Linked DNA regions of Cricetulus griseus. The protein of the gene in region 6 purifies or fractionates together with the protein of the main gene of each other region. This does not show direct contact. Links are inferred from orthologs where the notes say so. Each region holds a gene or a part of one and is shown on either strand. Other genes may lie near its edges. The genes, in order: Rpap2, Polr2d, Cdk19, Polr2m, Med12l, Med21 and Cdk8.

Region 1 (3,500 bases), on a different chromosome or scaffold from region 6:
CGAGTAAAACGGAATAGGAGAAAGACTGACTCTTAAGGACTGTTGTCATCACTAAGTCACCTCAACTCATGATCAGGTTATGGCGATGTGGGATTGCTGGAAGTCTCATGAGAATTGAACAGATGCCTCCTAGAGGGTAACAATATCCTGTGTCTCAGGGTAGGGTCTCCTATGTGCATCAGACCACAGGCATGTATCACTAAGCTCAGTTTGCAAAATGTTTGATATCTGATAAAATAAGACAATGCAATAAAAATCAGGAGCATTAGCCCATCAAAGCCAAATTCTCAGGGATTCAGATAATGAAATTATATTACTGTTAAATGATATACTATATAAGCTATATAAAGTTAACATCTTCAAAGAAAAATGACAGTTGAAAATTCTAGCAGACAACTGGAACTATATGAAAGAGCCAATGAACCCTCCATAAGTGAGCAACACAGCTTTCAAAAGCACTCATGGGACAGTGGGCAGCAGAGCCACGTTCTCCCAGGAGACTTCATAACCAGTGTCCATCATGAAGCACATTCTCTGGGGCTAGCAGCCATGGCAGCTGGGTGTCTGACAGTGGCAAGGGAGCTGTGAACATTTCCCCATAGAAGGCCAGAGACTTCAGCTCCACTTCCTTCTCTCTAGCCTCCCAGCTACATGTGGCCCTGGTGCCAGAGCATGTAAAAGGTAGAAGGCTGGCTGATGTTGGTGATCATCAACCAATGCATGACTTTCCAGTCATGCAGCCATGGCTGCCCAGCCTCTCAGTGATCCTAGCATGCGCAGTCTTGCAAAGCTGGACCTGGACAGACTTTCCTTGGATTGCTGGTCCCTATTCAAGGTGAGGAGACATTTCTTTTCCCTTGGCAGAGTCACACGAAAGGTAGACTCAGAGCTCATGGGACACAGCCCCGGGGACCCAGGGGACTACTGTACTTATGCAATGGCACACTCCTCAGTAATGAAAGAATGAACTACAGGCACACACAACAACACAAACGCATAAAAACCAAACCAGCCCAAACAGTATTCTATGAAACAAACTGGATAGCAAAGAATATAGCCTGCTCAAAATTGGCAAAAGTAATCTCTACTGTAGGATAATAATTTTGGGAGAGGCAATGATCACAGCAGACACTGATGTCATCCATTTTCCTTATAAGGAAGCACCTCCTGGTCTGTGCGCTCACTATAAACACTCAACAATCTGTACACTTGCTGTTGAACACCAACAAAAAAAAGCTATAAATCGTTCTACAGCACAATCACACTTCAGACACTGGTTTTTCCTTTGCAAGGCTTCTTAGTGTAAAGCTGTAAGTGGTGGTGAGGCTTATGCGGCTCTCTGGAAGCCAGTGTTCCTCCGAGCTTAATGTAAGTTTTGGATGCTATCTAAAAATGATATCGTGGTTTCAAATATGGTGCGAGGCTAGGCAAAAGTTCTGTAAAGGTCCAAGAAATTTCTATGTGTGTCTCTTTCTATCTTTCCTCTCCAAATCTCCAAGTGTGTTTTTAATTTGAGGGCAACATTTCTTATAATTCCTTTAATAACAGAGTTCTATCCTAAATCAAGACTATTATCTACTCTTCTCTCCACACTAAAAGACCTCCAGACAGCACATATAAACCAGAAGTACGCATTGGGAATATTACAGACTCATTCCTACACCTCAGCAGTGTATACTCAGCCTTTATGTATGAGGACTCTGTACCCAGTTATGTGATGTCACATACTCTGAACAGACGAACAAATGATGAAAGCTACTGAAAGTCCCGTGTACAGACAAAGAACTAAGAACTAAGAAGAACTAAGTTTTTAATGACTGGGTGGATCTCATCTGTATTCATTACTGCCCAGTAAATCCCTTTACTGTAGTGTTTTCACTGTAACCTTTCATCTTTTGGCTTGTGAGGTGTGTCTTCCTACACGTGTGAAAGTGCACTCGTGGGCATGCATGATGTCCTCTATCTTGAGCCTCCACCTTCATTTGCAGATAGCCTCTCCCTGAACTTGGAGATGTTTCTTTTAGACTGGCTGATCAGAGAGCCCCTCGTGTCCCTGTCTCTCCCCTCCCCTGGCAGTGGATAACAGATGCACATCACTGTGCCTTCCGTCTATGAGTGTCGGGAATCTGAACTTGGCTCCTCAGGCTTGGGTAGCAAGTACCTTCTCCAATGAGCCAACTTCCTAGCCATGCCTGTAACATTTCAGACAGACGCTAACTGAACATTACCTCAAAAAGCATTTAGCTGTCTAAGCAATTAATCTATCCTACTGAAAGCAGCATGAGGCACGCCCCAGATTTGCTTTGCTGAGCTCTCCAAATATGAGCAGCCTAAAAAAAAAAAAAAAAAAAAAAAAGAGAATCATTGGACGACATACCTCTCCTGGGTCCTGCAACTTGGTCATTTCTTCATTTAAGATATAGTGTCCTCTGTAGAACTCCCTGACCCTCAGGTTCAGCATTTCAGTTTCTTTTTTCAAGCTCTCATAGGTGGGCACTGGCTTAATGGCCGTACCTGAGCCTCTGACTGGTAGTGTGTCATCAAGGTTGTTCTGAGGCTGGCTCTGGGCAGGACCACAACTACCTGCCTCACAGCTTATGTCATCTTCATCGAGTTCTTCATCAGGTACAGGGGCCGAGGATGGTTTCAGGCACACAGAGGCACAATCTTGGCCATACAAAAACGTCAGTGTTTCTTCTGTCTTCCATTCAGTCAAGGTGTTCTTTAGAACTCGAAGTAAGTTTGCCTTTGCAACCTCAGGACATACCTGCACCGGGCCGGAGGCTGACTTGGAACCTTGGTTAGATTTGGCAAATTTGGTCCTGAAATGCTCAGCACTTTTCTTGCTAATCCCCACAAGAGTGACCTCTGGCACACTGCGCCTGTTGTCAGGAACTGCTAAGGTGTGCAGTCCTTCATACAGTGGGCCGGGTGAAGAAATCTGAGCATCTTCTTTCTTTGAGGGAAGTTCACAGGCTTTCTCCTGACTGTCCAACCTGCAGTTACCCAACCGCTCAGTGACATCTGCCACTGTCTGTTCTCTGTGCTTGGAGTCCACTTTCTGATCAGCTTTCTTTTTCATTGTGCTGCTGTCTTTGCACGGCTGTGGCCTCGTATCTGCTGCCTGCGGTCTGTCTCCTGGGAGAAGCGAGGAAACGAAGCCTTGCTCATCATCACTGGTGCATTCACTACACGTGCTGGGAGACAGACCTTCACAGGCACCAGGACCATCAATATCTGCTGCTGTAATGGCGTCTTTGAAAAACTGCACTACTTCTCCAGAGCAGCCACTGTCCAAGAAAGACAATCAAAACAAAGACAATTGGAAGACAAAGCATTTCAAGTTACATCCTGGAATTTTCGAGGTAAAAAATTCCGTTCCTTAGACATAGCCTTGCTTATACTTTCTCACACATAAACTTCAGAAGGCTTTAATTTCTTCATTTCTAATACATGTTTGATACAATTCTTTTCCTTTCCCTGTTTCTAACAATTCTTTT
Region 2 (4,271 bases), on a different chromosome or scaffold from region 6:
CCCCAAAAATTGGTATAGTGGGGTGCCTGTATCCAGCAGTTGGTAGTGAGACAAGGTATTTATTCCCTGGAGGCAAGCTGACCAGTTAGATCAGCTGTGAGCTCTGGGTTCAGCAAGAGTTTGCCTCAGTAAGTGGAAAATAATCAAGGAGGTTATTTAACATTAACTCCAGGCCTCTAAAAGCACCTGCATAAGAACATGTGCCCACACATATGTACATAACATATACATACACACACAAACAAATAAGTTAATGTTGCTATCTGGGCTGGGAATGTACCTTGGTTGATAGAATGTTTCCTCAGTATGCACAAAGCCATAAATTCCATCCACTGCACCACACAAATTGGGCACATGGCTGTAATACCAGGACTTGGGAGACAGAGACAGGAGAATCTCTGCATGTGTGATGCCAGCCTGGTCTACATAGAAAATTCCAGGTTAGGGCTGGAGAGACGGCTCAGAGGTTAAGAGCACTGACTGCTCTTCCAGAGGTCCTGAGTTCAATTCCCAGCAACCACATGGTGGCTCACAATCATCCACTATGAGATCTGGTGCCCTCTTCTGGTGTGCAGATATACTGGAAGCAGAATGTTGTATACATAATAAATAAATAAAATCTTAAAAAAAAAAAAGAAAAGAAAATTCCAGGCTAGCCAGTGCTACATGAGACTCTATCTCAAAAATTGGGGGTGGGAGGAGCGAGGGCATAGTCCACAGAGAAGGCTTAGTAGTTGAGAAGTCTTGATGTTCTTACAGAGAACCCAAATTCAGTTCCCCACAACCAATTCAAACGGTTCACATAAATCCATACATCCAGCTCCAGGCAATATGATACCTTTGGGCTCCACAGGTACCTGTATACACGTGAGTCTGAGAGTATGTGCACACAAGCACGCACGCACGACACACACACAATTTTTCTGTAGACACTTGGTTACAGATATCAATAATTTTTGTTATCAGGCCGGGTGTTGGTGGCCCACGCCTTTAATTCCAACACTCAGGAGGCAGAGGCAGGTGGATCTCTGAGTTCAAAGCCAGCCTGGTCTACAGAGTGAGTGCCAGGATAGGCTCCAAAGCTACACAGAGAAACCCTGTCTCCAAAAACCAAAAAAAAAAAAAAAAAAAAAAAAAGGATTTGTTATCATAAACAGGGGCTGGGGATGTAGCTCAATTTTTAGAGTGTTTGTTTAGAACGCACAAAAAACTAGGCTTAAGCCCGGTGGTGGTGGCATAAGCCTTTAATCCCAATACTCAGGAGACAGAGGCAGGAGGATCTCTGTAAGTTCCAGCTAGCATGGTCTACAGAGTGAGTTCCTGGACAGGCTCCAAAACTACAAAGAAATCCTGTCTTTAAAATAAAAACAAAACAAAACAAAAACAAAGAACAAAAAAAATCTAGGTTTAATTCCTAGCATCATGGAAGTAGAAGCAGGAGGATGGCAAGTTCAAGGCCATTCTTGCCTACTTCCTAGTTTCAAGCCAGTCTGGGCTACATGAGACCCTGCTCAAAACAAAACTCACAAAGGCACAGCACTCATCTTGGTGTTTTACTCGAATGCCTAGGCTAGCCTTGAACTCTTGGGCTCAAACTATTCACCTACCACAGGCTCCCTGTAGCAGGAGCAAGGTGGCACACAAAAATACATTGAACAGCAGGTACCAGTCATCCCAGACTGGAACCCATCTTGCTTCCAACTGTTCTTCATAACTCAAAAATATAAAAAGAGGGCCCAGAACCCAATGACAACAGCATCTCTGCTCAGGAGCAATGGCACTCTTCTGACCTATAGACCTTGAGATGCTTTTGACTAGCACTATAATGGGGCTATAGCTGAGTTTCTGCCAGCTGTCAATTTAGAATAGAGACCTCTGCTCCGACCTGCAGTGGTGGTGCACGCCTTTAATCCCAGCACTTGGGAGCCAGAGACAGGATCTCTGTGAGTTCGAGGCCTGCCTGTTCTTCAGATCGAGGACAGGCTCCAAAGCTACAGAGAAACCCTGCCTCAAAAAGCAAAACAAAACAAAACTAAGACCTGTGCTCCAGATCTGCCTTTTGCATGCCAGAAAATGGACATAAATACCTCTAAATGTCAAGAGCCCATGCCCTTAATTCCACCACTCAGGAGAATGGGGCAGGAATGTGACAAGTTGGAGGCCAGCCTAGGATACATAGCATGAAACTCTGAAAAAAACAAAACTGCCAGGTGTGAGACGCACGCCTTTGATTCGAACACTCACAAGGCAGAGGCTGGCTGATTTCATTGAGTTCAGGGCCAGCCTGGTCTACAATATGAACTGCAGGCCATCCAGGACTACAAGTGAGACACAGTTTCAAACAATAAACAAACAAACAAACATAGGGGGATCTCTGCGAGTTCGAGGCCAGAAACTCTGTCTCGAAAAAGCAGGAAAAAAAAAAGGTAGCAAGTGGCACTACAAGAGTAGGGTATGTGGATATCCACGATTCCAAAACCCCGGGCGTGGACGTTTCTCCAAGGAATTAAGTAAACCACGCAAGGGTTCATCTGTGCCGTGCTGACCAATCCCCTGTGCGTATCCCTTGGCAATCCTACGACGTGCCAGGGCTAGGGCTAACCAAGGAGCGGATAACGACTGTAACTCAAGGACCATGTCACCTCGGAGTCGAGGTGCCCCGGGTCCCACCTTTAGGAAAGATGAGCTGAGACGCGTCTTCTTCTACGTCGCCAGCCCGGGGATCGCTGCCGCCGGCCGCCATTGCTTCAGGATGTACCGCCACAGAAACCACCGGAAACGGAAGCCGCGAGGGCGGGCTACCCACCAAGGGAGGAACCTATCCGGTTCAGGGGCGGGGCCAGATGGAAAGGGCGGGCCCTAAGGAAGCCGAGTGGGCGGGAGGGGAAGGTTGGAAGGGGGAGGTACTGGGGCCACTCACGAGACTGGCCTCACTGCGCGAGGAGGGCGCTCAGGTCGCATTCCTGGTGGCTCCCGGTCGTTGGAGGGGGTTCTGTACTGCCGTCTTGGAGATGAGCTGTTTATTTTCTCCAAACGCTCTTGCCGTGAGACCTGGAATGGTCAGTAAACCCGTTCAGGAGAAAAGGATTAAGTGAAGTGCAGGAAAGACCAAAGTGACCGACCCAAGGAATGGCCTATGATGGGAAGGAAGCTGGGTAGGTGACTACAGAAACATATTGGAATGTCTTTCAATGATTTGATTATGTAAAAAACAAATTGATTAACCCGATGTGGTGGTCATGTATTAATCTACTGGGCAAGAGGATAAAGAGTTGAAGGAGAGCGGTGTATAGTGGCAGATGCCTTTAATCCCAGCAGTTGCAAGGCAGGAGCAGGAGGATCTTAGAGTTCAACGACAGTGATAGTTTCAGGACAGCCAGAGCTACAGAGTGAGACCATGTCTCAAAAAACCAAAACAAGCAAAAACAACGTTCGAGACTGAGCCTTGGCTATATAGCAAATCCGTGATTCATGCCAATCCAGGCTACATACCATCCTGTTGCAAAATGGGGTGCGAGGGTTAATTGTTTGTACTGTATTTAATAATTCAGAGCAAATGAACTCTAATATTGAGAATCCTTTAGTGTGTCTGTGGGACGTTTGAATCATAAGTGGAAAGTTAAAGGAAAAAGTAATGCTATTTTCAACACAAGAGAAAACAAGTGTTTGTACAATAAGGGGGGAAAAAATCTTCCCCAGCGCTTGGCTCATTAGGAAACAGTACTAAATTCAGCTAACTTAATAAAAAATGAATTGAAGGGGTTGGAGAGATGGCACTGTGATTAAGAACACTGATGTGCTTTTAGAAGACCTGAGTTAATTTCCAGAATCCACATTAGGAGGCTCACAAACACCTGTTGACTCCAGCTACAAGGGATCCAAAGCCCTTTCTATCCTCTTTTGGAGCACACACACCCTGTACATACACACAAAATAAATCTTTTTTGTTGTTCTTTTTCGAGACAGGATGTATCTGTGTTAACAGTCCTTATTGTCCTGGAACTCATTCTGTAGACCAGGCTGGACTTGAACTCACAAAGATCCACCTGCCTCTGCCTCCCGAGTGCTGGTATTCAAGGTGTGCACCACCACCACTCGGCTCAAAATAAATCTTTAAAAATGGATTGAAAGCCGGGTGGTGGTGCCTTTAGTCCCAGCACTCGGGGGACAGAGGCAGGCGGATCTCTGTGAGTTCGAGACCAGCCTGGTCTACAAGAGCTAGTTCCAGAACAGCCTCCAAAGCCACAGAGAAAACCTGTCTCAAACCCCCC
Region 3 (3,500 bases), on a different chromosome or scaffold from region 6:
AACAACACACCCTGCAAACTCCTTCAATGTGCCTTCATCATTCATTTCCCAGGGACACAGAGGTAAATTAAACTGTCTTTGAGGAGTTCCTAGTTAATAGGGAGGCAGATGTAAATATTTGGTAGAATAAACTGTATGAATAGAAACATAGGCCTAGTGCCAATGATTCAGAGAAGCTGAGTCTGAAAGCCATTCTGCACTTCACTCTGCTCCATCACTGGCTCAGCCGCCCATCCCTGCATGTGCAGAAACCTGTCCCAGTGTGGCAACTTTCACAGTGGCTGACTCTTCATTTAACTTTAGAACGCTTGTGTGTGGGATGAGCCTGTCATTGGCTAGGAACATGGGACTAATTTGTCGTCTAAAGCAAAAGGAAGTGCTGTTTGAGCCATAGCATCAGAGGTCAAAGGTAGACACCTTTAGCTCAACACCTGCTCTTCTTGCCTCCCCACCCAAGGGAGAAGGACTCTTAACCTTCCCTGGTCTTTAAAATGTTTGCATTGTAGAATTGTTATTAGAATTAGATGAGAGTAAAGCATTTGTATATAATAATTTTGAACATTTTAAGTATTCAATAAACAGGTAACAAAAGAAAAAATACTCAACAAAAGTCTAATGAGCTTTACATAAAAAGACATGAAAACTGCTTACCAAGACAGGTGTTGTGGTGCACATTTGTTTGTTTGTTTTTTTTCAGTTTTTATTTTTTAGCTTTTTTTATATGTATGAATAATGTTTTGCCTGCATGTAAGCCTGAGTATTGCATACACATAGTGCCTGCAAGGGCCAGAAGAGGGCATCAGATGCCCCTGGAACTGGAGTTTTCAGAGCTGCTATGTGGGTGCTGGGATTCGAATTTGAGTCCTCTGGAAGAGCAGCTAGTTAGTGCTCTTAACTGCTGAGCCATCTCTCCATTCCCTGTAGTACACATTTGTAATGTGTACTACACACACTTGGGAGGTTGAGGCAGGAGGATCATAAGTTCAGAGCCAGTCTGGGCTAACATAATTGGGTTGTTTGTTATCCATTTGTGTGTGTGTGTGTGTGTGTGTGTGTGTGTGTGTGTGTGTGTGTGTGTGTGTGTGTGTGTGCGCGTGCGCGAGCTCGAGAGCTAGGGAAGCATTTTACCACTGAACTGTATCCCACCCCTCTTTTTGCTTTTTGTTTTGAGATGGAGTCTCACTAAATTGCCTAGGCCTTGAGTTCACTTTGTAGCCCAAGTGGGCCTTAAATTTTAAATGCCCCTGCGTCAACCTCCTGAGTAGGACTATGTCAGCATGCATAGTGAGCTCCTGTCTTAACAAAACAAAAACAAAACAAAAATAAAATCAAGCATGCTTCTCTGTGTTTACTAATTCTGAACCCCAGGCATATTTACAAGGCTTTTATCGTGAGCTCATGTCATTGTTCCTATATCGTTTATCAAGCTGCTGCCTGTAATGTGCAGGTGGTTTTCATTTGCTTGTTTGGTCTGTCCACTTTCTTGTCAGGGTGGAGCCTGAAGCTTGTGTATTGTGAGGGCTATTCTTTTTTATGTACAGAACCTCTGCTATGTTAGTCAGGTTTCCATTGATGTGACAGATCCTTGAGATAATCAGATTACTATGGGCAAAGGTTGATTATGGCTTATTGTTTCAGAGATTTAGGCCATGCTTCTTGGCCTAGGGCTTGTGCACAGTACCTTGTAGTCAGAGCTTCTTGGGGTATAAGCCAAGGAGAGTGAGCTTAAAACTCTACAGTCCTGCTTCCTTCCACTGGACTGTATGTCCTAAAGAGCCCAGTATTTCTGGATGTCAACATGAGCTGGGAACTAAGCCGTTAGCATATAGGACTTTTGGAGATATTCAAGAGCCAGACTCTAGCCACTGTCACCTCCAGGCTTTGTCACTGCACACAAGACTTACCATGCCCGATAAGCCCCATAGATACAGGAGTGGAATTTTCAGTTTTCTTTCCTTTTTGTAGAATATATATATATATATATTGAGCTCTGATATTGTGCTACTGTAGATATAAATTGACTGTATGATTTCTTTTCTCAAGAAGATAGTCCTTTCATAAAGAAAATACACATGGACCAAGTACAGTTTCTTTTTTGGGAGAGGAGTTGACTGACTGTGTCTGTACATACATGCATGGGCATGCATGTTAAAGCCAGAGAGCAGCCTCGGGTGTCATTCCTCAGTCCTTTTTTTGTTGTTGTATTTTGTGATGAGGTCTCTCCATGACCTAGATAGAACTCCCCGCCAGTGAGGAACCCAGTCCTGCAGCACTTCGCTGACTGAACTGTTTTCCCAGACCCAGCTAATTCTATAGTGATGCAGGACTCATTTTGTTCATCATTTCAAACAGTCCTGTTTTTAAAATACACATGTGCACACATGCTCGCTGACAGAATTTTTCTCCAAGAATGGTATTGGAAGCTATTTCTCCCTTTCATGCTGCTCACCTGGCTTTTCCAAAATTTGAAAGTTCATTTGAAAGCTAGGCATGGTGGTGCACATGGATTGTGAGTTCAAGGTGGTGTCCTGGGATACAGAAGACCTTGTTTCAAATAAACTGTTCAGTTATGAGTAGGGTTCCCTTCTAAGCCCTCCTTTCTACTGAGTAGTAACCTTTCTTTCTCTTGCACTCAGCTTTTGAGAGAACTGAAGCACCCTAACGTGATCGCATTGCAGAAGGTGTTCCTTTCGCACAGCGACAGGAAGGTGTGGCTGTTGTTTGACTATGCAGAACATGACCTTTGGGTAAGTTTCAACTCGCTGTGTCCAAAGGACATAGGTAAGGGCCATGTATGCAAGCAGTATGTACTACTCATGTACAGTAAAGAAAGCTCACTGTTCATTCCAGTTCAGAGCAGCTACAGTAAATGTTGATTTGAAGATGGCACTGTCTGGTACACTCACAAGTTTCTGGGAGGAAGTTTTGCTAGGATAACAGACTGGTTCTGTGCAGGCAGCTAATGGCAGTTTGGTGACAGGCACAGTGAATACTGCTTCCATTTGTAAATTCACAGGGCTCAGTTCTCATCCAGTATATGCTTGTGAGTAGTTTTTTACTATATCTTGGTATTTCAAACTGGGTCTGCCAAATAAAATGATGAGTATAGTTTTTAGAATGCCTTATTAATACATAAAAGAAGGGAAAAAAACCTAATTCCTAACTTTAAAATTTGGGAACTGGAGCATTTCAAACATTTTGTTTCTAAAACTGCCAAAAAAAAATTCCAAATTTAACAGTTAAATTATGGTTAAATTTGGTTCAGCATGTTACAGTGTGCCTTCTGCATAAAGTAAAAAAAAAAAAAATCTTTTTAAGAACAACTTGGACAAGCTTATAAGGTCTTGAATGACCTTTGATGTGCATGCTGCTACAGAACTGTTGATGACAACTTCCAGTGTTTTCTTCAATATTTCTTAATAAAAATTACATTTCTGGACTGGACAGATGGCTCTGTAGGTAAAAAGTACCTGCCCAGGACCCACATGCTGGTGTGAGAG
Region 4 (4,027 bases), on a different chromosome or scaffold from region 6:
TGTTCACTCCTGCTTAGAAGATCCTCACACACACACAGCACTCTCTGAACTGGCATACCACATGAAACATTCTTGGGACAAGCCTGTTCCCTGTTCTGTGACACTTACACATTGGTCTTAAACTTATGAGGAGGGGGCACTGGGTTCTTGGCTCGCATTTCTAGCACTTCCATGTAATGAGGCCTCTTAGGCGTCTCACTCTGGAGCTCCGGCACGTTCTCAGAGCTGCTGTTTTCTTCTGAGGGTTCACTCTGGTCTACAATTGTGATCTTCTGCAACTTAGTGATAAACAGACTGTCAATGCTGCTGGAAATGTCTTCCACTTGACTTGAAACAGGGCGTTGGGGGAGATGTTTGTTAACTTCAGATGAGGGTGCCCTGGCTGTACTGCCGGGAACAGGGCCGGTGTTCACTGTGCAGTCAGCCTCCAAAGTCTCTTCATTGCCTTTGTGAGTGAGATGTACAGGTCCTTGTGTTTCTGAGGTTGTTTTAGATGATTTGATGTCTACAGAGGAACAGTCAAGAACTAATGATGAAGTATCAAGCATCAGGTCAGAATTCTGGGCCTTGTCTATGTCGATATCAACTCGTGTGGTTGCTTTTTGCCTTAGCTTACAGTCTACACTAACAGGATGAAACAGTTCACTTCTCCCTCTAACTTCTTCACGTTCTGCAATGGCAGCTTTCAGTTTGGCAACGGTGTCTGAAATCTTTTTACCTTTGTCGGGCAATTTGCAAATGAATTTTCTGTCAAATGCAAAAAAAAGAAAGAAAGAAACCAACATGTACACATTAGAGCCATGTTTTTAAACATGAAAACACGGTATTTAAAAGGCAGAATATAATCCTCAAAGAAAAGCTGGCTTTGAAGTTTTTTCAAAATAAATCTGATTTTTATCTGGCCTAATACAGGAACCCATCAGATATTTTCCCAATCTAAAATCTGAAATTCTTCAAGCCCAGACAATGACTGCCCTGTGGAAAACTTCACACCTTGCCACATGATGAGATGCAGTCAAAACCCAAGCTATAAAGAACACAACACAAAATTACCTTGAAAGTCATATATAAGAAACAACTGAAATCATTTTGAGACTTGGGTCTTAACTCGATACCGTCCCAATACACTCACATATACATTCCAATCTCCCTAAAAATATAAAATTCTGGTTTGTGTATTTAGGAAAGCAGATATTCAACCTGTTCAATATAAATAAAGACTAGTGGTTTTAAAAATATGGTCTTTGAACCCTAATGAGGCTGAAAAATGGGTCAAAAGCACTATTTGCCATTTCTGTCATAAAAGCTGAGTACAACAGGTTTCACAGAGGTCACATAATAGAATACATCACTATCTTACAAAGGAAGATGGACTTATGTGTTTTTGTGAAAGACTTAAGTTGTTTCTGTTAAATCAGCAATATTGCCAGTATAAATAAACAGGAGCTCTTAGGGATGCCCAGTGATTCTTAAAGAATCTAAAAATGTCCTGAGATCAAAAGGTTAATTTATTGCTATTATTAACAACCCATTCTGGAGAAAAAAAGAAGAAAAAAAAAAAAAAAGAATCAAAACAATACCTGTCTCCAGTGCTCACTGGCCCCTTTTGCTCAGTGAAATTCCCTTTCTGGTTCTTTCCCTTAGTTACATAACAAATGAAGATCTCTTAGGTCCTCTATTATTCCCGATACCACACCACATTCATGTTTTCTGCCTCTCTGCAACTGGGGTTCCTCTGCTTATTCAGCCCTCTCTTGAGCCTAGTACCCATTTCTCAGGGTTTAATCAGTTGGCTTTTAACTAACTAAACGCCTGCCATTATTCCCCTCCACTAAATACACCCGCGTAAAAAAAAAAAATTAACCTTGAATCCATTCCTCTCTCCCAATTTTCTCATTATCCTTTGTGGCTCCCCAGAAATTTCAACCACCTGTTAACTATGAATATGTATTTATCTCCAAATTATTTCACCAGTACTTAAGTTTTCCCAGTTTCTCGATTGCCTTCACAGTTCACCTTCCCATCTTGCTGAAAAAAAATCTCTCGGAAAAAAATACATTTTTGGCGTCTTCTGCCTCTTATTACCTCAACCCCGCTCCTAAACAAAGCTGCCTTTAAAAATTAAAACGTCAGCTATCATCATCCACCCTACTACGCGGGAGCGAAACTTTCTAGGCCTAATTAGCCCATCTTTACAGCACACTCTCCCCGTCTCCTTTGCTTTGGGAAAGAGTGGGGCTCTAGATAGAGAAGCGGGGATCGACGCCGTCTGGTCGCAAGGACTGGGTCCCCAGGGTTACGTTTTCTCAAAGCCGCTGTGGGGACGTGGAATGGAGCAGGCGCTGCTGCCTGCTGAGGGCCAGGCAGCATGGAGGAACGCCGCGCGCAGCACGGGCCTGGCCAGGAGGCATGACCACGCAAGGTCACCTTCGCCCGAAAGGCCGCGGCGGGGAGCGGGAGGCTGGTCCCGGATCTCTACCCCCGAGAGCCTATCCCTTGATCCCGGTCCCGATTCCCCGCAACCGCGACCCCCGAGCCACCGCTTACTCGTTGCGCAAAAGTCTCTCCTGGCGCCTCAACCTCTCCCGCAGCTCCGCCGAACTCCGCTGCCCCAAGTCCTCGGGAGCTGGGGGCTCGAAGCCGCGGGGCAGCGAGAACATTGTGCACGGGCTGCGGCTGACGCGGAGGGCACGGCTCCCCGGCGGGGCCCACGGCGGGAGCAGGCTCCGCGGCCGGCGGCGACTCGGGCGCGCGAGCGGGAGTCGCCATTTTCCCGGAAGAGCACGGCTTCTTCGAGCCGAATGGAGCTTTATTGAAATGCCGGAAACGGACCGGGCCAGGAGCAAGGGGGCGCCCGAGGAAGAGCTCAGGGGCGGAAGTTACATCACCGCAGAAGTGTCTGGGTTTGGCGCGCTTTCGCTGGATGTGTGTCCTTTGCTTTCCCAGCTTTTCGACTTCGCTTTGAGAAAGTATAGGACACCCATGTCAAAGACTTACTGACTCACTTCTATTAAGCAAAGTATGCCAGAAGTAATAGTGTCACATCTCAATTAAGCAGTACAGTGTTTGGACAAACATTTCACAGGGATTCCTGAATGAACACTAATAACCGTAAAAATAAATGACAGGGGGTTGTAGAGATGGCTCAGTGGTTAAGAGTGCATAGTGCTCTTGCAGAGGACTAGAACTTGGGTAACAGCACCCCTGTGGGGTAGCTTACAATTGCCTTTAACTGCACCTCTAGGGCATCTCACAACCTTCCCTGGCTTCTGCAGGCACCTGGTTCACATGCACACACATACGAGCACACACACAATCAAAACATAATAAATATTTAAAAAACAATGAATGACCAGTATTACTAGCAATTATAAAATGCATTTTATAAACACAATATAGCTAAGCGTGGTAGTGCATGCCTTTAATCTCAGCACTTGGGAGGCAGAGACAGGCTAATCTCTGTGAGTCCAAGACCAGCCTGATCTACATAGTGAGTTTGAGACCTGCCAAGGCGACATAGTGAGTCCCTGTCTCAAGACAAACAAAACAACAAGATTTGGATATTTGGACAAATCAGAATATCAGGAATTAGACTGACCCTGTCAAGTGTTAGGAAGAAGAAGAAGAAGAAGAAGAAGAAGAAGAAGAAGAAGAAGAAGAAGAAGAAGAAGAAGAAGAAGAAGAAGAAGAAGAGGAGGAGGAGGAGGAGGAGGAGGAGGAGGAGGAGGAGAGAGGAGGAGGAAGAGGAGGAGGAGGAGGAGGGAGGAGGAGGAGGAGGAAGAGGAGGAGGAGGAGGAGGAAGAAGACGAAGAAGAAGAAGAAGAAGAAGAAGAAAGAAGAAGATCTGAGATTTCCATAGACAGCTAAACAGGGAGGGGTTTGCAAATAGTAGAACCTCTTTGGAAAATAGTTTGATAATTTCTGAGTCTGGCTTTGTTAATGTTTAGTGTAATGATCTTGAAGTTCATCTATGCCAATGTTTCTTTATATTGCTAAGTAGTATTGTACTATGTGAGCTTGTTTATGC
Region 5 (3,500 bases), on a different chromosome or scaffold from region 6:
AAGACTATGCTATTATTCTTTGCCATCCACAAATAACATCTGTCAAGCAAGGTAAGGTTATATTATTTGTGTTATTTAAGGTTCACCTAGACTGGCATCTGTTCATTCAATAATTCTGCTTAAATCAAAAGGAACTACTTAAGAATATGAAATGGTCACTATTGTTTGGTTAAGGTAAAAATGAGGTACCCAAAGTTAAAAGTAGGCAACATTTGAGATCCCCTAATCAATCAAATCCTTTATGACTTACATACTAAAAATATTCGGAGGTGTTCCACTGCCCATGAGTAGAAGGCAGTGCTATTACTCTAGCAAAATATGCACAAGTAGGAATGTAAAGGGCTTCGTGGGTATCATTCATTAGATCTGAAGCCCGCGCACCTCCTACTGATCATTGGCAATACTAGCATCATTGTGGCTCCACCTGTTTCATAAAAAACATATCGTAGGTTGATATGAACTTGTTCAGAGTTACAAAAGAAGCAGAGACACTAGGTTAAAACCCAGGTTTTCTGATGTTCTGCATCTGGAATATAATCTGACCAAAATTTAAACTTTTAACTAAAAATGTCATTATTCTTGTCTATCATGAAGAGTGATTTACATCAGAATGAAGTACCATGCAGTTAAAACCAAACACACAATACTTATATTTCAGTTCTCCCCAAGGTCACCTTAGCTAAGGGACAGAATCCTTGAAGTTCCCATTACTTACACTTAGGCAAAGACAATCATCTTTTCCAGGACAAACAAACAAAAACCCTAGGTTTCCAATGACATTAGGTAGATTTCACTGTGAATACAAATCATTTTTGCCTCCACTTCTGGTGATTAACCAAGAGGCTAAATGCCAGGATAGTCTTACCAAGCATCATAATTGCTTTTAAGACAGCAAAAACTGCTCCCACTTCTATGCTGTTGTGAGCGGCGGCTAAGAGGTGTCTATCACAAGATGATCTTATTCCAGGGAAAGGTTTGCCTATGAAAACAACAACAAACTTTTAACGGCCTTTTCAACATCATTAACCATCTTCTGTTACCATTTACACTCAGTAAGGTCTTTCATTGTTAGCTTGTGGGCACTTAACTGACATTAGTTTGCTTTAATTGATGCTCCACAGACTCACTAAGAAACACTGCCAGTATTCTTACTTAACCCTTTCTCTTTAATTATTATTAAAACAATGTTCTTGCTCCCCAGAGAGATGTAGGAAAAAGATTAGTAGAATTCCCACACAGATGCATCCATCTCTATATGGAAATGATTTAGTGCAAGACTTTACTAATACCCCCCACTGCCTTAGGAAAAAGTAAATAAATGAGCTGTCGTCCACCTAAGGTGAGACAGCATGGCCCAGAATCAACACCGGCTATGGAAGAGGATGAGACTTCTCTCCAGCACGGTATTTCCTAAGAGCTCAGGCATTTTTATTGTTTATTAATTCCTCATGTTATTTCCCAATATGTCCTCATATTACACAATGAGAGGTGTGGGCAGACCTTACAGTGGCAATATCTCAGTCCTGCATCATCTGCAGATCAAGCCCATGGAAGCCAGGGAGGAAACTACAAACTGGACAGCTCCCTTGGTCACAGCAGAACCCAAAGTTCCAAATACACAGAAGCAGAGCTTCCTCTGAGGTCAGCTCACCTGTTGCTTGAGGGAAAAAGCAGGCCTGGGGAGCTCGGAAGAGGTGAAGCAGGAGGCGGCATGTCATTCTTGCCCCTGGCTCTGCATCTGCATCTCCACAAGCTGGGAAAAGGGGGAGATTAAAAGCAAGATTCCTCACATACTCCCCAACAAGCTTTTCAGGTTTTCCCCTGCTAAAATTTCAGTAATACATTAAATAAATTCTCCTCTGAACTAAGTTTACCTTTCCAAGGAACTGTCAGGCTGCCTTAAACCAAGTATAAAGCAATAGGGGATTCCTGTTCAGTTCATTGTTACTCTGCATAAAACAGCCACTCCAGTTATACCATTCCCACCAGGTATCCTGCCACCCTAATCCCCAATATGGTCCTTTCTCCATGCTTAAGTGACTCCCAACCAGCAACCAATAACACATGCTACTCTGGGCCGGCTTACCTGCTGCTAACAGAGAGGGAAGGGCGACATGTTGCACGACGTCCTCCAGGGAGAAACACTGTCGTGCTATCAGGATAGCAATGAAAGTAGCTAATGAATCATGGAATGAAAGGTCACTCACCTTTAAGAAAAACATTGACAGGTTTTAATACCCAACACCCTTTAATACAGTATCAGAGACCACTATCTAAGAGAATACTGGCAAGACAATAAGATCTCAAGTAAGAACCAACAGAGGGAAATGACTTCAATTAATGTCTTCTTGGGCCTATGTCTATGATAATAAGACAAAGCAAGTTTACTCAGATCCCAGTGATCTAGGAGGATGCTGACCTTTAACTTATTTGCATGCAACTCCAAAAATATAACGCAAGAGCAAAATCAAGAAGCTACTAAAAGATATGTCATAATTGGTAGCTGCCAATTGAATGTACTATGTTATTTATGGGTAAGGCAGGAAGCAGGAGAAGATTCCCCTAGGGGGAAAACATGACCCACTAACACTTGAACATTCTTTTCTATTACAACTAATGAGTTTTTTTTTTAATATGAGAGAATTCATTTAAAAAGGACTCTGAAAGTTTTCAATAGGCTACTAAATTTAAAGAGAAAGATGAGAGAAGGGGGAGAAAAATTACTCCTGCCCCTGTGAAATCTCTACATTCCAGATCTCACAAGCATTGGAAGATAATACAAAGGGAACACAACTATCACAATGGCAAGCTCCCAAGGGATCGTTACTCGATGCAGCAAGTCACAAAATTAGATTTAAGAAAAACTTAGGTCTTTGTTGTGTGGAAAAGCAGGCTACTACAATAGACTACAACTAATAGCTTAATCCATAGAATGAAGATAAGGATGCAGGACTGTCATTCAGTCCCAAGACAGAAGAAACAGGAAATGAACCTCAGCTCTAGAACTATCAGGTTTCTTTAATAACATATACAAATTTCTGACAAAGATGACTAAGATAAAAGCATAAATGGGTAAAGAATACACAACGATGTTTAAGACATAAACATCATGGGTGCAATCTGGAACTCCAGGAAGTCATGTACGTGATTTGGACAGTCGCTCCATCACTCCAGGGCACACTCTGAGATACACTGAATGTCCTCTGAGTCTACACATGGCTTTTCTTATGGAAAATAAAAACATCTATATTCTTAAATATATACGGGTTCTCTTCATGTATGAAATGCTTTATGTCCTGTTCTGAGGAATCCAAGCCAGAAAAGAACAAAACAGCTCTGAGACCATTCACATATAAAACCTCAGCTGCCAGAACATATTGGAATTCCTTCTACTCCTTCTATTTATTTTGACTTTTTAACTTATTTAATTCATGGTTATGACACTATGGTTTGTCACTTTTGAAAACAGAAAAATATTTTTGCTTTGTTACAGTTTAGTA
Region 6 (4,022 bases):
CCTCTCTTCGAATGTTTATGGGTATCCATCCTAGCAGATGCAGAAATTGCAATACAGAAAGAGTCATGCTTAAGAGTACTGGCTGCTTTTGCAGAGAATCTGGGTTCAACTCCCAGAATCCACAGCTCCCAACTATAACTCTAATCCCAAGGGATTTGAATCCACAGCTCACAACTGTAACTCTAATCCCAAGGGATTTGATAGCCTCTTCTGGTCTCCATGGGTCCCAGGCGCCCATGAGGTACACAGGAATACTTAAAATAAAAAAAAAAAAAAAAAAAAAAAAAAAAAAAAAAAGACTCTTTCAAATCATAACTCTATAAACAAATCCTAAGATACCAAAGTAGTCGAACTGGTAGATAACACATTCTATTCTAATTGCAAGAATGATTGTCTGTTCTTTCCTGAGGTTCAAAATTGGGGTGTACAAAGCACATGATCTCTTGTCTGTGCAGAGCAGCTACCAAATATAAACAAATAGTGGGCGTATTGGGGATAAGCTCAGCTGGGAGACTGCTAGCCTAGCATGGTGAAGCCTCGAAGTGGACCCTCAGCACTGAAACAGAAACCTAGGAGTAACATCGCAAACATGTAATTCTGGTAATCAGGAGGCAAGAACCCAAGTTCAAGGTCACCCTCAACTACACAGGAAGTTCCAGGCCAGTCTGTACTACATGAAGAAATTTCTTACTGTAAGTTATCAGAACTGTAATTCTACAAGACTCCAATTGTAATCTTACTGCTCAGAATGTATTTGTTGTTGGGGCACGGCAGTGCACAACTTCCATCCTAGCACTTGGGAGGCAGAGGCCAGCCATAGTTACATAAGAGACTCTCTCAAAAAAGGCAGAACTAAAAAAAAAACCAATGTAGTCAAGTAATTTGAAAACACAAGTTCACACCATCTGCAAACTAAACACATGTATAACCCATCACCCAACTTCTCACTAATCCCTGGAACCTCAACTATTATTTCCAATCTTCCAATCAGGAAACAGCATTTCTATTGTTTCTATTATTTTGCTGTCATTATTTCAATGACAAAAATCTGAGCTGTCATTAAAAGCTAACCTGGGTGACTTTATTTTAAGTTGCAGCATTCCATTTTGCAACACTGTCTTAAGACAAAGAAAAACCCAAATGAAACTTATTCAGAACAGTAGTTATGTATTCTGTCCTGCAAATGCTTTCAAGACCCATTGTTCATCTGTTCAAAAACATATTTATTGAAAAATGAACCCCATGGCAAGTACTATATATAAATATTATAGAGATGAACATGTTTCCAGATGGTAGAACAAATGTTAACACTGCTCTATGTTCCAATCTACTTTAGCACTGAAGAACTGAAAGCAGTTTACTCTAACTCCCTAGCCATGAACGGGGTTTCACATCTGAAAGTCTCTTGAGTTCATGGCATCTTTCTAAGCTCCCCCAGGGGTAGCTCTTTGTAAACACATTGCCTATTGACACAGTAGGCATCCAAGTTAGCTAAATTAACAGTATTCCTAACATGAGTCAAGACCATATAGCATCCTTACCACCCTAGCTACAGGACCTACACGAAGACGAAATTCTGAGATAAGCTCCTACACTGCATTAAGAGATTTTTAAAACCTCAAAGGAGTACTTTCTTGGGAGAGAATGGCTGGCAGCCCAGGGAAATCTTTACATTTTAGCTTGGTGAGTTCACCAACATTTAGGGATAGCCCCTCAATTTAAAAACTACTTTATTTACAGAGTAGGCAGTTTTCCCACAAGTAGATTCACAATCTCTAAAAGTGATGTATTACCAAGAAGCCAAGTTATGACCTTTCTGTAAGAAAAACACAGGCCAGGGACTGGGTTTTGTTTTTTTCCAGTAGGCAGACACTCTACAGGCACTTTACCTAGAACAAACTACAACCAGGATGACACGGACATTTTTAACTACCAGTGGAAAAGTGTTGTGCTCTTAATGGTAATAAGCAGAAACATTTTTTATTTTATTTTTTGGAGTCAGGGTCTCTCTCTACACTGCTCTGGCTGTCCTGGAACTAACTTTGGGGCTGGCCTCAAACTCAGATTTGCCTGCTTCTGCCTCCAGAGGGCTGGGATTAATGGGATTAAAAATGTGGCTCAGAGGCAGGGCGTTAGTGGGGCACGCCTTTAATCCCAATACACCGGAGGCAGAGGCAGGAGGATCTCTGTGAGTTCGAGGCCAGCCTGGTCTCCAGAGCGAGTACCAGGACAACCTCCAAAGCTACACAGAGAAACCCTGTCCCAAAAAAACAAACAAACAAAAACCAAAAAGAGTAACAGCCAGAAGGGACAAGGTTATGGAAGGCAGCAGTTTTCAGGAGCTTCTGTTGTTTAGATTTTATGACTCCCCAGTTGTTTTTTGTTAGTTTTAACTGACAACCTGGTCTCCACAGTGATTTCCAGGTCAGCCAGGGGGGTACGCGGGAGACTCTCTCAACACAAAACAAAAATCGCCCTTGTGAACATCCGCTCGACGCGGCCCTCCTGCCCTCCTGCCCTCCTCTCCCCGGCCCTCCTGCCCTCCTCTCCCCGGCCCTCCTCTCCTCTCCTCTCCTCTCCTCCCCGGGAAGGACGGGAAGGAGGGGAAGGACGGGAAGAACGGGAAGAACGGGAAGGACAGGCCGACTAAGGCGGGAGCCTCACCGAGTTCACCGCGTCCTGCAGCTGCGTGAGGCGATCCGCCATGTTCCCGCGTACGCAGCGACGCCGAAGCTCCCCGCTCAGCGGCGATTGGGTAATTTATGGCGGCTCTGGGCCAATCACAGGGCTCCCTTCCAGGGGGCGTGGCCAAGGACGCACGCTGCGGCGGAGGGCGGGGCTATCCCGCGGCTCACCGGGGCCGGGGAGGCGGGCGGAGCGGGCGGATCCGGGGAGGCGGGTCTGGGAGGCGGGTCTGGAGGGCGGAGCCGGGGGTGGAGCCAGGCCCGCGGCGCCGAGATGCTCCAGGGACGGTCGCCGCCTGCCGTCCTGGCTGTAGCCGTGTTTGAGGCGGTCCTGGCGGGCCCGCGGTGTGTTTTGCTTGCGTGTGGCTCCGGGGTTCTGTTTTGGGCGTCATCTGGAACACTTGTTTTCCTTCACTTGTGCTTTCCAGGTGGACCACACGGCGAACCCTTCACAAATGGTTAAACCCAGCAGATTATCATTCGCCAGGAAATCAAGAGTTAGTTAGGTGTCTTGTTGGATTGGGCCAAGAGGTGCTTGCCCAACTGTAGGCTAGATTCGTGCTTTAATTCTTGAGTGGGGAAACTGACACAGCAGAAATGGGAAGCGTGGGAAACTAAGCGTTAAACTGTGCCGTGGTGAGGAATGACAGGCAAAGGTTTTCACCTTTGGAGGTGAAAGGCATTTGGAGATGGGCATTTGGAGATAAGAGGTGTGTAGTCAGCACAGTTAACTACACAGTCCTCTGTAGCTGTGAGGAAGAGAAGGCTTCAGAGGAAAGGGAAGGGCCCTGGGGCCAGAAGAGAGGTTCCAGGAAAATAAGCAAGTTAGGCAGGTTCAGAATTTAGATTTAGAATTGAGATCTTTGATAGTTTTACATGCGAAGAGTGATACTGTGTGATGCGCACTGGGAAGATGTATGGCTGTGATTGGTGTAATAAAAAACTAAGTAAAGATAAGTAAAGGTAACAAGTTACATAAAAGCAAGCAAATTAAAAAACATGGGTTGCCCTGCATGGTGGCACACACCTTTAATCTCAGCACTCAGGAGGGAGAGGCAGGAGATCTCTGAGTTCCAGGCCCTCCTGGTCTACAGAGCGAGTTCCGGGACAGCTTCCAAAGTTACACAGAGAAACCCTGGGGGGAGGGCAGGTCCATTTAAATTATAAGAACTAATTTGGGGCTGGAGAGATAGCTCAGTGGTTAAGAGCACTGACTGCTCTTCCAGAGGACCGGGGTTCAATTCCCAACAACCACATGGCAGCTCACAACTGTCTGTAACTCCATTCCAGGGAACCTGACATTCATGGCAAAAACACCAATATAAAATAAAAATAAAT
Region 7 (3,078 bases), on a different chromosome or scaffold from region 6:
TCATGTGGGAGTGCTTTGCTTGCTGCACTGCCTCCCAGCTGCAGTAGATACTTTGTGATATACCACAGAGGTCTCAAGTTACTGGATTGCTGACCTTGGACTTTCTATTCCAAGTCTGTTCAGAAGTTGGATCCCTTTCTACTCTCCATCTCTGTAGTCTTCCATACCTGTAATATTCTATGCTGATATATTTTGACAGGTAGACCAATCTACTATAGACCACACTTTGCAACAGATCCTTTAGAAGCCCCAGAACAGCAGGTCAGTACGAGACACTTGTAATACCTGATAGTCGGAGGTCATGATGAGTCCACCTGAGGTAGTGGTAGGAGGGACAACTCTCACTTTTTTCAAGGGGGGCCCCTGTGCGTGGCCGCTGTCCTGGTTCCCCGGATGGCCAGTTCCGTTAGTGTGGTTATTGCCCTGCTGCTGCTGCTGGTTCTTCTCAATTGGTTAAACAGAAAATAGTTCAACTCAGAAGGAGAACCAAAGGTAGCCACATCCCAAAGGTCACAGAAGTGGCCACATCCCAAAGGTCACAGAGGTGGCCACAAGGAAGGCACTGCCGACTGTAATTTAATACTTACTTTGTCTCCTTTGTCATCAGGTTCTTCTTCTGTTAAAAATTCTCGTTTGGGGTAAGGGATCTGACAACCGGCAAAAACACTATTCACAAGAGGAAAGAAAAGAGCTCTATCACATGATGCCTGTTATTTCCCAGGTTTCACTTAGGTGACTCACTGTCACGTTTTAAGAAGACAGGACTTGGTCTCCATAGCTAGAGATAAAAGCATCTTTCATGCAAATCTGATACAAAAAATCCTTTAACCAATGATACTGCAGCAGGTGGTTGGAAGGTTCTTCACTGTGTAATCATAATCAATAATCACCAAACAGGACAGCTCTCATTGGTACAAAGTATTTACCACTGCTCAGTGTTTGTCTGCCCTTCTCCAGTTAAAACAAAGAAAGTAAAGAGAACATGAGGGGGCTGGAGAGATGGCTCAGTGGTTAAGAGCACTGCCTGCTCTTCCAAAGATCCTGAGTTCAATCCCCAGCAACCACATGGTAGCTCACAACCATCTGTAGTGAGATCTGGTGCCCTCTTCTGGCATGCAGACATACCTGCAGTGTTCTGCACACATGCTAAATAAATAAATGAATAAATGAATAAATCGATCTTTAAAAAAAAAAAAAGAGAGAGAACATGAGTTTATTTAGGAACACCAGAGCCCAAGTGCAATCCCTCAGAGGCATGGCAACTTAGTGTGCCAACTAAGAGGAAGAGCACTTAAAGATGCCAGCATTCAGGAAGTCAGCAAATCCACCACTTACTCTGATGTGGGAAGTGGGTCTTCTAGGAAGTAGGGGTCCTGCATGGCCTGCTCTGAGGTAATTCGCTTTATTGGGTCCATAGTGAGCAACTTCTGAAGCTGAAATCACAAGTCACAGAATTATCAGTGCATGCTCCCACAAAAACATTAGTGCACTATCCCTAAGCTTATATGTCAGTACCCATGAGGGGTGGCATGCTTCTAAAAGCTAACACTACAACATGAATGGTTTTTATTCTCTCAAATTATCAGTAACAAGATACAATTATTAATGCAACAGCACACACAATCATCTCCTGGTGACTACACTTAACACCTTCTGACCCTCCTCCCCAGTGCTTTGTCCCTTCATTATCCACACAATTTAGAATGACCAAACTTGCATTTCCTGTTGCTTTTCTTTTAACAGGAGAAAGTGTTGTAATATAAACAACGCACAAGCCACAGCAGTTAGATTTGTGTCCAAATTCAGCAAAACTGCATTATAATTAAAAAAAATAATTCTCACAGCTATACCAGGTAATCAAGTACTCAAGAGGTGCATGGAGCTAGAGGCTACCCTACTCAACTGTTTAGTCCAAACCCTGACTCAAAATTTACTGGTTGAGAGTACCTGGCAGGTCAGTTCCCCTCTTTGTAACCATATCTGTCTAGATAGAGAATAAAAATAGTACAAACTATCATAGCTTGTTTTAGTATTAAAGAAATATATGGTTCAGCATTTGTGATAGTTCTTAATAAAGAGAGCACACTGTAAGTGTGAGTAATGTAGTACACTGAGCTCATCCTTGCTACATCCAGAGATACCACACTAGTATGGAAACGCAGCACTTCTGGGTTAAATACCTTCTGGCAATGTTTGTTCCTAATGTGATATAACAAGTTCCGATCTTCTGCAAACTTCAGTGTGCCACACAAGTGTTGCAAGGATTTTTTTTTAAACTGAGAGCTGAGCCTGAGCCCTGTTCCCAGAGTCTGACAGAGAGCTGAGCCCTGTTCCCACAGCCTGACAGAGAGCTGAGCTCTGTTCCCAAAGCCTGACAGAGAGCTGAGCCCTGTTCCTAAAGCCTAATTGTCGCCATACACAAAACTCAAGTCCAAATGGATCATGGATCAAAGACCTCAACATAAATTCATACACACTGAACCTCACAGAAGAGAAAATGGGAACTAGCCTTGAATGCACTAACACAGGAGACCACTTCCTAAATATAACACAAACAGCACAAACACTGAGAGCAACAATTAATAAATGGGATCTCCTGAAACTGAGAAGCTTCTGTAAAGCAAAGGACACAGTAAACAAAACAAAACGGCAGCCTACAGAATGGGAAAATATCTTCACCAACCCTACATGTGACAGAGGGCTGAATCCAATTTAAAAATGGGGTACAGCAGGCGGATCTCTGTGAGTTCAAGACCAGCCTGGTCTACAAGAGCTAGTTCCAGGACAGCCTCCAAAGCCACAGGGAAACGCTGTCTCAAAAAAACCAAAATGGGGGGGGGGGGAGATACAGATTTAAACAGAGAATTTTCAACAAAACAATCTCAAATGGCGAAAAGACTCTTAAGGAACTGCTCAACATCCCTTAGCCATCAGGGAAATGCAAATCAAAACCTCTCTGATACTCCATCTTATACTGATCAGAATGTCTAAGATCAAAAACACCAATGACAGCTTATGCTGGAGAAGATGTGGAGAAAGGGGAATACTCCTCCACTGCTGGTGGAGTTCAAACTTGTA

The links.
Region 1: the proteins of Med21 (region 6) and Rpap2 purify together in Homo sapiens (affinity purification with mass spectrometry; 3 studies listed by BioGRID and IntAct, with this or other methods). This does not show direct contact. The link is inferred for Cricetulus griseus from reciprocal best matches to the Homo sapiens genes MED21 and RPAP2.
Region 2: the proteins of Med21 (region 6) and Polr2d purify together in Homo sapiens (affinity purification with mass spectrometry; 4 studies listed by BioGRID and IntAct, with this or other methods). This does not show direct contact. The link is inferred for Cricetulus griseus from reciprocal best matches to the Homo sapiens genes MED21 and POLR2D.
Region 3: the proteins of Med21 (region 6) and Cdk19 purify together in Homo sapiens (affinity purification with mass spectrometry; 6 studies listed by BioGRID and IntAct, counting the BioPlex papers as one, with this or other methods). This does not show direct contact. The link is inferred for Cricetulus griseus from reciprocal best matches to the Homo sapiens genes MED21 and CDK19.
Region 4: the proteins of Med21 (region 6) and Polr2m purify together in Homo sapiens (affinity purification with mass spectrometry; 3 studies listed by BioGRID and IntAct, with this or other methods). This does not show direct contact. The link is inferred for Cricetulus griseus from reciprocal best matches to the Homo sapiens genes MED21 and POLR2M.
Region 5: the proteins of Med21 (region 6) and Med12l purify together in Homo sapiens (affinity purification with mass spectrometry; 3 studies listed by BioGRID and IntAct, counting the BioPlex papers as one, with this or other methods). This does not show direct contact. The link is inferred for Cricetulus griseus from reciprocal best matches to the Homo sapiens genes MED21 and MED12L.
Region 7: the proteins of Med21 (region 6) and Cdk8 purify together in Homo sapiens (affinity purification with mass spectrometry; 14 studies listed by BioGRID and IntAct, counting the BioPlex papers as one, with this or other methods). This does not show direct contact. The link is inferred for Cricetulus griseus from reciprocal best matches to the Homo sapiens genes MED21 and CDK8.

The regions. Positions count from the first base shown.
Region 1 is NC_048600.1:2,380,563-2,384,062, reverse strand, and holds part of Rpap2 (putative RNA polymerase II subunit B1 CTD phosphatase RPAP2), read right to left. Parts: intron 3,291-3,500; coding exon 2,378-3,290; intron 1-2,377.
Region 2 is NC_048595.1:205,582,468-205,586,738, forward strand, and holds the start of Polr2d (DNA-directed RNA polymerase II subunit RPB4), read right to left. Parts: upstream 2,801-4,271; 5' UTR 2,744-2,800; coding exon 2,671-2,743; intron 1-2,670. UniProt on the Homo sapiens protein: Core component of RNA polymerase II (Pol II), a DNA-dependent RNA polymerase which synthesizes mRNA precursors and many functional non-coding RNAs using the four ribonucleoside triphosphates as substrates.
Region 3 is NC_048595.1:262,975,347-262,978,846, forward strand, and holds part of Cdk19 (cyclin-dependent kinase 19), read left to right. Parts: intron 1-2,636; coding exon 2,637-2,747; intron 2,748-3,500.
Region 4 is NC_048597.1:182,991,350-182,995,376, forward strand, and holds the start of Polr2m (protein GRINL1A), read right to left. Parts: upstream 2,801-4,027; 5' UTR 2,661-2,800; coding exon 2,548-2,660; intron 748-2,547; coding exon 109-747; intron 1-108.
Region 5 is NW_023276806.1:92,255,573-92,259,072, forward strand, and holds part of Med12l (mediator of RNA polymerase II transcription subunit 12-like protein), read right to left. Parts: intron 2,208-3,500; coding exon 2,087-2,207; intron 1,754-2,086; coding exon 1,652-1,753; intron 980-1,651; coding exon 866-979; intron 1-865. UniProt on the Homo sapiens protein: May be a component of the Mediator complex, a coactivator involved in the regulated transcription of nearly all RNA polymerase II-dependent genes.
Region 6 is NC_048601.1:3,057,122-3,061,143, forward strand, and holds the start of Med21 (mediator of RNA polymerase II transcription subunit 21), read right to left. Parts: upstream 2,801-4,022; 5' UTR 2,707-2,800; coding exon 2,665-2,706; intron 1-2,664. UniProt on the Homo sapiens protein: Component of the Mediator complex, a coactivator involved in the regulated transcription of nearly all RNA polymerase II-dependent genes.
Region 7 is NC_048597.1:82,215,072-82,218,149, reverse strand, and holds part of Cdk8 (cyclin-dependent kinase 8), read right to left. Parts: intron 1,434-3,078; coding exon 1,336-1,433; intron 667-1,335; coding exon 588-666; intron 445-587; coding exon 286-444; intron 1-285.